Linked DNA regions of Anolis sagrei. The protein of the gene in region 1 binds, or shares a complex with, the protein of each later gene. Links are inferred from orthologs where the notes say so. Each region holds a gene or a part of one and is shown in the gene's direction. Other genes may lie near its edges.

Region 1 (7,575 bases):
GTCCACAATTCTGGTCATAAGCATTTCAATAAGGGACATTCAACCTGTAATAAGTGATAACCAACCCAAATAACCTGACTGATCTTGAAAGCTAAGGAGGGCCAGCCCTCATTACTATCTATATGGGAGACTGCCAAGGAATACCAGCACATACCAGAGGAAGGAACTAGCAAAACCATCTAAGAAAATCCATTGAAATTCATGAGGCCACCACAAGCCTCCACTTCTGGTCCTAAGCGTTTTGAATAAAGACACCCAACCTGTAATAAAGAATACCCAATCTGTCATAAGGGATAGTCAACCTAAATGCACCTACTTATGGGAGACTGTCAAGGAATACTCGTATCTTTCAAAGAAAGGAATTAGAAAAGCTGGTTCAGAAAACCCTTTGACATGCATGAGGTGGTAATATCTTTACACTTCTGGTCCTACCATTTCAAATAAGGGATGATACCTAACCTGTACTAAGGGATACTCATCCTAAACACTCTAATTCATTGATGGGCAAGGACCCTCCTGATGTTTTTGGGTTTCAATTCCCACAATTCCTAACAGCTGGTAAACTGGCTGAGATTTTTGGGAGTTGAAGTCCCAAAGTTTGCAGGCATGGGCCGAAGTTTGCCCATGCCTGCTAAATGCACCTAGTTAGCATCTGGATGGGAGACCTGACCCTGTCTGATCTTGCAAACTAAGGAGGGCCAGCCCTACTTAGTATCTGGGTGGAAGACTGTCAAGGTATAGGGTTACAGCCTGTACTGGATGGGGTTACACTCCCCCTGAAGTCGCAGGTTCGCAGCTTGGGAGTGATCCTGGACTCATCGCTGAGCCTGGAACCCCAGGTCTCAGCGGTGGCCGGGAGAGCTTTTGCGCAACTAAAACTTGTGCACCAGTTGCGCCCGTACCTCGGGAAGACTGATCTGGCCACAGTGGTCCACGCTCTTGTCACATCCCGTATAGACTACTGCAACGCACTCTACGTGGGGTTGCCCTTGAAGACTGTTCGGAAACTTCAACTGGTCCAACGAGCGGCAGCTAGACTGCTTACTGGAGCGACATAGAGGGAACACACCACCCCCCTGTTATGTCAGCTCCACTGGCTGCCGATTCAGTTCCGAGCACAATTCAAGATGCTGGTTTTGACCTACAAAACCCTTTACGGTTCCGGTCCAGCATATCTGTCCGAACGTATCTCCCTCTACATCCCATCTCGGAATCTGAGATCATCTGGGGAGGCCCTGCTCACGACCCCACCGCTATCACAAGTGAGGCTGGTGGGGACGAGGAGCAGGGCCTTCTCAGTGGTGGCCCCCCATCTGTGGAACTCACTCCCGGGGGAAATCAGGGCTTCAACTTCCCTCCTTGCCTTCAGGAGGAAGGTAAAGACCTGGCTCTGGGACCAGGCCTTTGGGCACCCTGACAATTAGACATGGAACCAGAATGATAGGACCAACAATGTGTGGAAAGTAGAACCTAACTATGAGTCGGTTAAACACTGACCAGCAATGAGGTTTGTATTGTTTTTATTGTTTTAATTGTTTTTACGGGTTTATGGCTATTACTGCCGATAATATTGATTGTTTACGTTAATTGTTATCAGTGTTATAATTACTGTTGTTACTGATGTTATGTTTTTGATATTATGTTTTTGTAATACAGGCATCGAATTGTGCCTTGTGTGTGTAAGCCGCCCTGAGTCCCCCCAGGTGAGAAGGGCGGGGTATAAGCAACTGCAATAAATAAATAAAGGTATGCTGGTAGCAAAACCAGTTCAGAAAGCCCTTTGAAATGGATGGCGTGGCCATCCATCCATAGTGGACTTGAAGGCACACAGAGAGCCACCTTAACCCAAGGCGAGCTGACCCTCCCAGCTCCTTTAGAACATCTAGCCCAAGTGAGCCTGGAAAAGGTTGTCTAGGTGCAGAATCCTGTGTGTGGACATCCATAGAGATACCAAGGTACTTGTTTATAAAGCTATTCTCCTCTCAACCCTGCTATATGCCTGCAAAACGTGGACTGTCTACAGATGTCACACTCAACTTCTGGAATTATTCCATCAGCGTTGCCTTTGAAAAATCCTGCAAATCTCTTGGGAAGAGAGTCGGACAAATGTCAGCATACTGGAAGAAGCAATGACCACCAGCACTGAAGCTATTCTCCTCCTCCATCAACTCCGCTGGACTGGCTACGTTATCCGAATGCCCAATCACCATTGTCCTTGAGTGTGGGCATTGTAGTTCACCTACATCCCAGAGAGCACTGTGGACTCAAACAAGGATAGAACTTTTTATTTATTTATTTATTTACATCACTTATATCCCGCCCATATCAGCCTGCAGGCGACTCAGGGCGGTCTACATATCGGCACAATTCGATGCCATCAATACAATACAAAAGCAAAAACTAGCAAAACCACCTAAGAAAACCCTTTGAAATTCTTGAGGACCACCACTTTTGGTCCTAAGCATTTTGAATAAGGACACCCAACCTGTAATAAAGAATACCCAATCTGTCACAAGGGATAGTCAACCTAAATGCACCTACTTATGGGAGACTGTCAAGGAATACTCGTATCTTTCAAAGAAAGGAATTAGAAAAGCTGGTTCAGAAAACCCTTTGACGTGCATGAGGTGGTCATATCTTTACACTTCTGGTCCTAACCATTTCAAATTAGGTGCATTTAGACAAAAAAGACAGTGCAATAACAATTTAAAAAGAGCTATTTCCTCTCATTCCAATCCTCATCCGTTTCGTCGTCTTGGCCGTTCCTGGGTCATTCTCCATCTCAAGCTTGACTATTCTGGGGTTCCGAATGCCTGCTCGAAGAGCCAGGTTTTCACTCTCTTACGAAAGGTCAGGAGGGAGGGGGCTGATCTAATATCCCTAGGCAGGGAGTTCCACAGCCAAGGGGCCACCACAGAGAAGGCCCTGTCTCTCGTCCCCACCAAGCGTGCTTGCAAAGTAGACGGGATCGAGAGCAGGGCCTCCTCAGATGACCTTAACTTCCTGGAGGGTTCGTAGGAAGAGATGCGTTCGGATAGGTAGGCTGGGCCAGAACTGTTTAGGACTTTATAGGCTAAAGCCAGCACTTTGAATTTGGCCCGGTAGCAAACTGGCAGCCAGGGGAGCTGATGCAGCAGAGGAGTTGTGTGCTCCCTGAGCGCCGCTCCTGTTAGCAACCTGGCTGCTGCACACTGGACCATTTGAAGCTTCCGGGCCGTCTTCAAAGGCAACCCCACGTAGAGCACGTTGCAGTAATCTATGCGGGATCTAGACCAAACTTGGCACGAATACTCAAGATGCCCAAATGTGAACACTGGTGAAGTTTGGGGAAAATAGACCTTGGCATTTCGGAGTTGAAGTTGCTGGGATTTATAGTTCATCAGAAGATGCTTACTTCTTGGGAGGAGAGCAATGTCCAGTCTCGATAAAATAGTAAAGAGTAGAGACATCAGACTGGCAACAAAGATCCGCCTCGTCAAAGCCATGGTATTCCCTGTAGTAACCTACAGATGTGAGAGCTGGACTATAGGGAAGGCTGAGCGAAGGAAAATCGATGCTTTTGAACTGTGGTGCTGGAGGAAAGTGCTGAGAGTGCCTTGGACTGCGAGAAGATCCAACCAGTCCATCCTCCAGGAAATAAAGCCCGGCTGCTCACTGGAGGGAAGGATACTAGAGACAAAGTTGAAGTACTTTGGCCACATCATGAGGAGACAGCAAAGCCTAGAGAAGACAATTATGCTGGGGAAAGTGGAAGGCAAAAGGAAGAGGGGCCGACCAAGGGCAAGATGGATGGATGGCATCCTTGAAGTGACTGGACTGACCTTGAAGGAGCTGGGGGTGGTGACGGCCGACAGGGAGCTCTGGTGTGGACTGGTCTATGAGGTCATGAAGAGTCGGAGACGACTGAACGAATGAACAACAACAACAACAATCAAAGACCATTATGAACCTCACCAACGAGTGCTATGGTATTGGAATGACTACCGGAATGGACTACGACTACGAGACGGATTATGACCCCAAAACAAGACGATGCGGATTTTTAGTTTAATTAGTTGTTTTGTATTAGTAAGATGTTATGTTGTGGTCTTGATTCATTGTAAATTGTTGTTTCTCTATGTTGTGTACACCGCCACGAGTCGCCCTAGGGCTGAGAGTGGCGGTTAACAAGTGCAAATAATAAATAAATAAATAAATAATAAACGATAGAATTGGACCAAACTTCTCACAGAGAACCCTCATGACCAACAAAAAATATTGTGTTTTCTGATTGTCTTTGGTGACCCCTCTGACACCCCCTTGCGACCCCCACAGGGGTCCTGATCCCCAGGTTGAGAAACACTGCTTTAGGGCAACATCTAGCCCAGGTGAGCCTGGAAAGGGTTGACTTAGGTGCACATTCCTGTGTGTGGACAAGATGCGCATTGTTCCAAAGCAAACGGGAAGGGTTTGGCTTGCACTGTGGGGGAAGTGAGTGGCCGTGTGTGGGGAGCTTGGGGTCTGTGGAAGACTCTCCCCACGGAATGGAGAGCATGTGAAGGCAGGTGGGGGCGGGCCGGGGGGAGGAGACTCTTCCGCCGCGGCTGGTGGCTGTGTAGTTGAGCCTGGATGCTGCAGAAGCTCCCAACGCCGCTTGGACAGAGAGAAAGAGGAGGAGGAGGTGCAGCCCAGGCATGGATGCATTGGATGCCCGGAAGGGCTTGCTGCAGGTAAGAGCCCGACCTGGCTTTTGGGATGCCAAGGCTGAGAAGGGGGTCGAGGGCGAGACCCATGCCGGATCTTTGCCCCCAACTTTCAAACCGGGGGTGGAATGAGTTGATAGTGTCCCGATCCATCCCAAACCCCCCTCTTTTCTTTGTGTCCTCTCGCCTCCAACCCTTCCATCCTTCTTATACTCCCTTGTTTCTATTTTGTCTCCTGCCATCTTCTATGCAAACTGAGATCTAGGCGACTTCCCAAGGAAACCGGGGGACACTCATTTTCTCAAAAATGTCACGAAACTGGGGCTCCTTTGCCAGCTTTCTGGTCAGTACTACAGCTCCCTTTGTAGGAGTGAGGAAGCAGAGGAGGGAGAAGTCCAGAGTTCACTGCAGAGGCAGCTAATCCGGATGAATTAACTAGCAGCAACTACTCTGGTCCTGTGCTTCATCAGAAACCAGCATTCCCATTTTTGTTGGTTTTCCCCTGACATTAAGTCCAGCTGTGTCCGACTCTGGGGTGTGGTGCTCATCTCCATTCCCAAGCCAAAGAGCCAGTGTTGTCCATAGACACCTCCAAGGTCATGCCTGCATGGCATGCCATTACCCTCCCGCTATTGATCTACTCACATTTGCATGTTTTCAAACTGCTAGGTTGGCAGAAGCTGGGGCTGACAGTGGAAGCTCACGCCGCTCCCTGGATTTGAACCTGCAACCTTTTGGTCAACAAGCTCAGCAGCTCAGCGGTTTAACACACTGCGCCACCGGGACCTTAACTCTGGTTGTGTGCTTCATCAGAAACCCAGATCAGCATCCCCATTAAGTGTGTATATATTGTGGGTGTGAAGGTGTAGTTTAGCTTCTGAGGCTGGAAATGATGTTATAGTAGAGCAAATGATGTTCTTGTGCGTTTTGTATATGTGTAAGGCCGGTGGCGCAGTGGGTTAAAGCGCTGGGCTGCTAAGCTTGTTGCCCAAAAGGTCACAGGTTTGAATCCGGGAAGCGGGGTGAGCTTCCACAGTCAGCCCCAGCTTCTGCCAACTTAGCAGTTTGGAAACATGTGAGTAGATCAGTAGATACCGCTCCGACAGAAAGGTAACGGCGCTCCATGAAGTAATGCTGGCCAAATGACCTTGGAGGTGTCTATGGACAACACCGGCTCTTCGGCTTAGGAATGGAGATGAGCACCACACCTCAGAGTCGGACATGACTGGACGTCATATCAGGGGAAAACCTTTACCTTTACTTTTACCTTTACCTTTACCTAAGGCTTGGTTCTGTCCAGACAAAGAGCTACAAATGGTCAAATGTATTTATGTTACTTAGCATTTCTTTCCAGAAGTCGAGACAGCAAGGATGACTATCCTTCCTCTCTATTTAATCGTTGCAACAACAATCCTGTGAGGCAGGTTAGGTCAAGGTCACCCATTCCATTCATTCTACTTCCATTCATGGCTCAATGGAAAGTAGAACCTGGAACTCCCAAGTGCCAATCCACCACATAAGCCACAACACCACCAGCTTTTGTTTGAATTTGGGGTTGTGGCCACGTTCTTTACAGCTCAAGTGCAGTCAATGTGTAAAATATGGTTTAAAGCAGGGTGTGGTCCTGGAGGATCAGAACCCCTAGTTTGTTTGTTTGTTTGTTTGTTTTATTTATATTCTGCCCTTCTCACCCCGAAGGGGACTCAGGACGGAGCACAGCATATATACGGCAAACATTCAATGCCGGGACAAGAATTCATATACGCATACATAAACATTAAAAACATTTATCTCAATATTAAAATACATCATTGAAAACCGTCCTGGTCATCAGCGTCAAATCTAATTGGCCTGGTAATCTTTCCTATTGCTGCTTTATTGCCGTGTCCTGAAAGCTTGGAAGAAGGTTGGCCTCCAGGAATAGAATCATAACAGTTGGAAGAGACCTTGTGGGCCATCCAGTCCAACCTCCTGACAAGAAGCAGGAAAATCACATTCAAAGCACCCCTGACAGGAATGCTTTCCTATGTAAGTGTATCTGCTAAGGCTGTGGTTCCCAACCTTCCTAATGCCACGACCCCTTAATACAGTTCCTCATGTTGTGGTGACCCCATACATAAACATTATTTTCATGACTACATCACAACTGTAATTTTGCTGCTGTTATGAAGCGTAATGTAAATATCTGATTTGTAGGATGTATTTTCATTCACTAGACCAAATTTGGCACAAATACCCGATACGCCCAATACTGGTGGGATTTTTTTTTTGGGGGGGGAGGGGTTATTTTGTCATTTGGGAGATTTAGTTGCTGGGATTTATAGTTCACCTACAATCAAAGAGCATTCTGAACTCCACCAATGATAGAATTGAGCCAAACTTGACACACAGAACTCCCACAACCAACAGAAAATACTGGAAGGGTTTGGTGGGCATTGATCTTGAGTTTTGGAGTTGTAGTTCACCTACATCCAGAGAGCACTGTGGACTCAAAACAATGATGGATCTGGACCAAATTTGTATCAAACTTGGCACAGATACTCAATATGCCCAAATGTGAATAGTGGTGGAATTTGGGGAAAATAGACCTTGACATTTGGGAGTCGTAGTTACTAGGATTTACTGTTCACCTACAATCAAAGGGCATTCTGAACCCCACAAGTGATAGAATTGGGCCGAACTTCCCACACAGAACCTGCATGACCAACAGAAAATACTGTTTTCTGGAGGTCTTTGGTGACCCCTCTGACACCCCCCCCCCCGGCGACCCCTCCAGGGGTCCTGACCCCTAGGTTGAGAAACGGTGTGCTAAGGCAAGATAAGCTCTGTATATCTTCAAGGCAAGACAAGCTCTGAGCAACATTCTACTTTGGTTAGATCACACTTTTGTGAT
Region 2 (7,405 bases), on another chromosome or scaffold:
GGGTGTCCTACTGGACTCATCGTCGACATTTAAAGCTCCAGTGTCAGTGGTCGTCTGACTTGGCCACACCGGTCCATACGTTAGTTACATCTGAGAATTGACTACTGTAATGCACTTTACGCGGAGCTGCCTTTGAAGACAGTTCGGAAACTGCAGTTAGTACAAAGGTTGGCTGCCAAATTACTAACTGGAGCTAGCTATAGGGAGCATACTATGTCCCTACTCAAGCAGCTCCACTGGCTTCCAACAATTTTCTGGACTCAATTCGAAATGCAGATTATTACCTACAAAGCCCTATATGCTTTAGGCCTAATCTATCTTTGAGACTGCATCTCTTTCTATGAACTGGTGCAGGCTTTGAGATCAGGAGGAGAGGCCCTTCTCTTGGTTCCACCATCATCTCGAGTGCGATTGGCGAGGATGAAAGAGAGGGCCTTCTCTGTAGTGGCTACCTGGCTCTGGAATACCCTCTCAAAAGAGATTAGGTTAGTCCCCACCCATGACTCCTCCTGATCCAGCCTAAAAACATTGATTTTTAAGCAGGGTTTTGGCCTCGAATAGGCTGAAATGGGCCCATATGAGGTTGACACTTAGACACTTTAGTTGTGATTTGAGGGCAGCTAGTTTTAACTACATGTGGTTTACATTTTAAACTGTATTTTCATTTTATTTGCTGTGTTAATAGTGGCTGTCTTTATAACTTTTATTTGATATTGTTTTTATACTCATGTAGTGCCTTCTAAGCTTCCTTGATACCCTTTTGGAAGATGGTGGCAGGATATAAATAAAGTTTATTATTATATATTATCTACAGAGCAGTTTGACACCAATGTAATTGCCACGACTTCATGTTGTAGAATTCTGGGAGTTGTACTTTGGTGAGATACCAGCACTCTTTAATGGAGGAGGTTAAAAGAACTTATAAAACTACAGCTCCCAGGATTCCATAGCATTGAGCCATTTGATTTAAAGTGGTGTCAAGACTTTCTGTATATATTTCAGATTTCAATACTAGATGTACCCATAGTTTTTGTCTTTCCCTACTTTTTGAGGCCTACTACGTTGCCTATTATTACTCTTAACTAGAGTAAACCTATTCAGTTGTTAAATGGTGAATCAACCCATAGAGAAACCCCACTGAAAAAATAGATCTTCCTGCAATCGGTATTTAGGGTTCAGGCCATAGTTTCACTTCTGTCAGTCAAAGGATGTGTCCGCACTACACAGCTGCAGTGCTTTAATATAATCTTAACTGTCACGGCTATCCATGGGTTTGCAATTAGGTACATAGAGCTCCAAATTCTCTGTCCAGGTGCTGAAGAGCTTCATCAAATCATAGAATAATAGAGTTGGAAGAGACCATGTGGGCCATCTAGTCTAACCCCCTGCCATGGAGGAAACCAAATTCCAAATCCTAGGATTTCCCAGGAAGGCACCATGTCAATTAAAAAGGATGCAACAGCTATAACACGTGTCAAACTCAAGGCCCGTGGGCCCAATCCAGCCCACCATGTAATTTTATGTTGCCCTTCAGATGCTGGACTGATGTGTATTGATCAAGAATTCCTGTATTCTTGTTCAATAGACATCATACCTAGAGCTGATGGGAGTTGCCATACAGGAACATCTGGAAGGCTGCAGTTTTGAGTAAGAACAGTGGAGTTCAAATTTAGATAGAAGGCCTGTGGACAGAGGCGGCCCTAGGTAATTTTCAATAGTAAGCAAACAGTATCCCCCCCCCCCAACCAATCACTGATATATATTTTCTGTTTGTCATGGGAATTCTGTGTGCCATATTTGGTTCAATTCCATCATTGGTGGAGTTCAGAATGCTCTTTGATTGTAGGTGAACTATACATCCCAGTAACTACAACTCGCATATGTCAAGGTCTATTTTCCCCCAAGAGCACCTCAAGAGCACCCCTGGGCAAAATCAACTATACTGCAAATGCTTACTTTGCGTAATGGGTTGAGCCGCCCGTGCCTGTGGATAAAATGTCTGACGTTAAAATTTCCTTTAAACTTTCTCCAACCTCACAGCTGCAAATGGTGTTGAGCTGTAATTCCCATCATCCCCAGTACACATGGCAGATAATAAAAAGTGATGGGTGTTGTCATTCAGTGTGCGTGTCAGGGGCAACTTGAGAAACTGCAAGTCACTTCTGGTGTGAGAGAATTGGCCGTCTGCAAGGATGTTGCTCAGGGGACGCCCGGATGTTTTCATGTTTTATCATCCTTGTGGGAGGCTTCTCTTGTGTCCCCATGTGGGGGTGCTGGAGCTGACAGAGGGAGCTCATCCATGCTCCCTAGATTTGTATCTCCAACATGTTGGTCCTCAGTCCTGCTGGCATAAGGATTTAACCTACTGTGCCAGTGAGGGCTCAATAACATCTGGGGAACCAAACTGGGTTAAAAAATGACAGCAAAATGTAAAGATCTTGAAAAACAATAACTCCCATGATTCCATATCACTGAGCAATGGCAGTTCAAATGGTGCCTCAATTCTACAGTGTGGACTTACTCTTCAATGGCCTTATAGACCAAACTGGGACTGGGAATAAACAACACAACTGAGACCTAAGAATAAGGAACCAACTTCACAAATTGGATGGGTTGCTCCTACTAGGGATCCAAGTATGTCAACTCATTTTTTCAGTGCTTCAGAAAGTTACTCTTTGGATTACCAGAATCCACCAATCAGTCTGCCGCCAGTGGCCATGCACACTACAAGTGCACTTTTCCTCTTGTAGTTTGTTTTTAACAGTAACTTTCCAAATTCTGCTCTTTCCCCATTCTGGCATCCCACAGGAAATGCTGGGTGGGGTATTGGATGCTGAGGAAGCCATTCATCTGCATTAAGTAGTCTGGAGCCATAAAAAGAAAGGCCATCGATCAGTCTGCGCTGGTCGACTTTTCACCTGCCAGAGATATCGATGGTCCTGGGTTTCCATCCAGAGGCCCCTGAATGGAAAGAGTCGGGTGGCAAGGATGGCAGAGAGAGAAGAGGGAGGGGGGTTAGATTTTGGAAGGGACCCACAAACATGACCCATGAACTCCAATCCCTGAGATTGTTCACATGTTTAGGTCTCCCTATAGATTGAACCTACATAATTGAGAGCACAAGATACCTTGGGAAGGAAATAAAAAACCCAAACAATACAAGGCAAGGGTTGCTGTGAGTTTTCTGGGCTGTATGGCCATGTTCCAGAAGCCTTCTCTCCTGACGTTTCACCCACATCTGTGGCAGGCAACCTCAGAGATTGTGAGGTCTGTTGGAAACTAGGCAAGTGGGATTTATATATTTGTTGAATGTCCAGGATGGGAGAAAGAACTCTTGTCTGCTTGAGGCAGGTGTGAATGTTGCAATTGGCCACCTTGATTAGCATTGAATGACCTTGCAGCTTCAAAGCCTGGCTGGTTGCTGCCCGGAGGAATCCTCTGTTGGGAAGTTTATTTATCGTGTCAGGAGCGAACCAAAACAGTTGTATTGCATTAAAAACAAACAAACAAAACACAAAGTTTGCAGACTAGGTATTCTATTAAATGTCCTTTGACCAGTAGCTGCCCACTTGGAGTGCCTCTGATGTTGCTGCAAGAAGGTCCTCCATTGTGCACGTGGCAGGGCTCAGGTTGCATTGCAGTGTTGGGAAGTGTTACAAGGCAAATCAAACCCACAAGGGGGAAAGAGAAATTGGGAACCAGGGGGCCCTCCATATCCATGGATTCTGTACCCACGAATTCAACTATCCATAGCTTGGAATTCCCCCCCCCCCCCCAAATTCAGAGCTTGATTCTGCCATTTTTATATAAGGTGCACCATTTTACTCCCTCGTTATATATAATGGCACTGGAGCACCCATGGATTTTAGTTCCTGGAACCAAACCTCAGCACACCCAAGGAAAGGGCCTGAGGCTGTTAGGAATGGTGGGAGTTGAAGTCCAAAACACCTGGAGGACCCAAGTTTGAGTAGGCCTAGTGTAGACGCATCTGTTGCTTCTACTAGTCCTACTTTCTTTCTCAATGAGTCACAATGATCCTCGGTCCAGTTACCAGAATTCAGGAGGAAGTTTACTTCCTATGTAGGGACTTTGGAAAAGTTGGGGAAAGGTGTTTTTTCTCTCCTATGGAAAGACAGGACCTTCTCCTTGGAGGAAACTCTACTTTCCTCCCTATGGAAAGTTTTGGGTCGCCTTGACTTTGCCGAGCAAGAGGGGTCCCTTGAGGCCACCCGCGCGCCCCCTCTTCCCCGCTCTCCTTCATTCAAGGGTTTTTATCAATGGGAAGAAGAGTGTCCTGTCACTCTTCCCCGTCCGCCTCCCCCCTCCCCTCTTTCGGGGCTGGGCTGACGTCACCGACGAGGCGATAAATATCTGTTGATATAATTGGACGTGAGATTCCGGGGTTGCGATCGCAGGACGTTGCCCGCCGCCGCCGCCGCCTGCTCCGGAGCGGCCCCCATGATTTATTCAGCAAGCGAGCTGTCAAGCCAGCGTCAGCTTTTTAGGCGAAGGCTGCGTGATCCCCCGACGGGGTCCCACCTATAAAGACCCGGCAGACCCGGCTCCCGTTAGGAAGCCCTCGCTCGGGTCCCCGGGACGCCAGCAGAAGCGCTCCCAGACGGAGAAGGGGGCAAGCAGGCAGCCCGCCCCAAGGCAAGGCAAGGCAAGGCAGGGAGGGCAAGGCAGGCGGGTCCCCACCGCTGGCCGCTTCCAGTCTCCGAGTCTCGAAGGTAAGGAAGAAGGGGAGAGCGGGAGGGAGCCCGGGAAACCTGGCCAACTTTGCCCTGGAAGGAGAGAGGGGCGTGGGAATGGGATTCGGGAGAAGAGGAGGAAGGAGAGTTGGGAGAAGGGTGTGTGCGGATGGGGTTGGAGCCTGGTTGAGGTGTGAGGGAGCTCATAGGGATGCCTGTGTGGGGCAGAAGGAAAGGAAGTCCTCATGAAGGAAGGAGCTAAGGGAAGAGAGACCTTTCTCTATCCGGCAATAGAGACCATGGTAGCAAGAGAGACCATCACCTATAACAACAATGTAGACCATTAGAGCAACATAGGGCATTCGCTATAGCAATAAAACTATTATCTATAGCAATATTGATCAATATTGATCATTATAGCAATACCAACTATTAGCTATAGCAATATTGATCATTATAACAATACCATTATCTATAGCAACATTGATAATTAGAACATTACCAACTATTAGCTATGGCAATATCGATCATTATAACAATACCTACTATTAGCTATACCAGTACTGATCATTATATCAATACTAACTATTATCTATAGCAGTATTGATCATTATAGCAATATCAACTATTATCTATAGCAAAATTGATTATTATAGCAATACCAACTATTAGCTATGGCAATATTGGTTATTATAGCAATGTGTACTATTAGATATATTAATATAGACTATTTTAGCAATATAAAGCATTAGCTATAGCAATACACACCATTAGCCGTAACATTATGGCAATATGAATCATTTAGTTCTTGTGGGTTTTTTCGGGCTATATGGCCATGTTCTGATGATGCTTGCCATAGATGCAGGCGAAACGTCAGGAGAAATGCCTCTAGAACATGGCCATATAGCCCGAAAAAACCCACAAGAACTGAGTGATTCCGGCCATGAAAGCCTTCGACAATACATTGAACATCTCTACGGGGAGAAACTGTTCCAAGACACACGGAAATTGGAGAAACTAAGGACCAGGAAAGCACATCTACTGTGCTCCCTGACTTTCCTTCTACGCTGCAGAGACACAGATACCATCCCACAATTCCTCGCAGCCAAAAGGACTTTCAAAACACCACAGGCTCACCGGATCTATGACCGCCTGGAACGCAACCTCTTAAGAGAGAGAATCCACACCATCCGCAAAGAACTCGCAAACACAGACAAGGAACTGCTGCATCTCCATATCAATATCAGCCAGAAGATGAATTCCCAGGACTGGGACAAAATAGACAATCTCACTTACAGGAAAATGGAGAAGAACATGGTTGTCCACACCAACAGACAAAAACAAAAATTCCACAAACGACAAAAGCAACAACCGAAACCAGAACTGGATACATCACGGACCATCATCAACCTGACAGACAGACAACTCTCTGAAGACCAAGTATCCATACTAGCGAAAGGAGGAAACTTTGCTGTAACCGCGACCAGGATCCCAGTAGAAAACATCATTGCCAATGTCGAATCAGCAATTTACCGCCTACCAGAGGAGGAAGCAGAAGAAGTACGAGCGGAAGCAGCAAGGATCCTGAAAAAGGCAAAACTCCCCTCCAGTAACATTACTAGGAAGGAAAGAGAAGCCATTCGAGACCTAAATTCAGATCCTGATATCCTCATTCTGCCAGCAGACAAGGGGAATGCCACAGTCATCATGCATACGGAGCAATACAAGGAGAAGATCAGAAAACTCCTGGACCCTACTATATACAAAAAACTCAAGCAAGACCCAACTGCCAAAATAACCAGGAAAACCAACACCCTGATTAAGAACTCCTCAATAAACTTTGACATACGACAGCAGCTATGTAAATCGGAAGCCCATCCACCCAGGCTTTATGGACTCCCAAAAATCCATAAGGACTCCACCCCACTCAGACCCATCGTGAGTGCCATTGGATCCCCCACATACGACCTAGCAAAATTTCTTGCTGCACAGTTACAAAGCCATATTGGGCTCACTACACACTACATCAAGGACTCAGCCCACTTCATAGAAAAAATCAGCAATCTCAAGCTAAATACAAACGACAAACTGATCAGCTTCGATGTGGTATCTCTATTTACCATGGTCCCGGTAGCAGACACCATGGCACTCATCAACCAGAGGTTCCCAGAAGACATCACGGCTCTGTTTCACCATTGCCTCACCACCAGTTACTTTCAGTGGGACAATGAATTCTACGAACAGAAAGATGGAGTAGCTATGGGGAGCCCTCTCAGCCCAGTCATAGCTAACTTCTACATGGAACACTTTGAAGAACAAGCCCTGGAGACAGCAACCAAAAAGCCCACGATATGGTTCAGATATGTGGATGACACCTTCACCATTTGGAGCCATGGAGATGAAGAACTCAACAGGTTCCTGGACCATCTTAACAGCATCCACCCAAACATCCAGTTCACCATGGAAAAAGAAAATGAAGGAAGACTGCCTTTTCTAGATGTCCTAGTCATCCGCAAACCAGATCAACAATTGGGTCACACCGTCTACAGAAAACCCACACACACAGATAGATATCTACATAAAAACTCCAACCATCACCCAAGTCAAAAAAGAAGCACCATCAAAGCCTTGGCAGACCGTGCAAAAAGAATCTGCGAACCCCACCTCCTCCAAGATGAACTGAACCACCTCAACTGGGCTCTCCAGGCCAATGG

The links. The genes of interacting proteins can lie anywhere in the genome.
Region 2: the proteins of CRHR1 (region 1) and CRH are in contact, whole or in part, in a cryo-EM structure (PDB 6P9X), measured with the Homo sapiens proteins. The link is inferred for Anolis sagrei from reciprocal best matches to the Homo sapiens genes CRHR1 and CRH. Residues at the interface, in NP_004373.2 of Homo sapiens: Lys113, Tyr116, His117, Ala119, Val120, Asn123, Trp169, Val172, Gln173, Met176, Ser177, Pro178, His181, Thr192, Tyr195, Asn196, His199, Phe203, Phe260, Gly261, Lys262, Tyr267, Tyr272, Gln273, Met276, Ile277, Leu280, Tyr327, Phe330, Phe331; in NP_000747.1 of Homo sapiens: Glu156, Pro157, Pro158, Ile159, Ser160, Leu161, Asp162, Leu163, Thr164, Phe165, His166, Leu167, Leu168, Arg169, Glu170, Leu172, Met174, Arg176.

Annotation. Positions count from the first base shown.
Region 1 is NC_090026.1:38,132,448-38,140,022, reverse strand, and holds the start of CRHR1 (corticotropin-releasing factor receptor 1), read left to right. Parts: upstream 1-4,552; 5' UTR 4,553-4,673; coding exon 4,674-4,709; intron 4,710-7,575.
Region 2 is NC_090024.1:45,606,875-45,614,279, forward strand, and holds the start of CRH (corticoliberin), read left to right. Parts: upstream 1-4,395; 5' UTR 4,396-4,730; intron 4,731-7,405. UniProt on the Homo sapiens protein: Hormone regulating the release of corticotropin from pituitary gland. Induces NLRP6 in intestinal epithelial cells, hence may influence gut microbiota profile.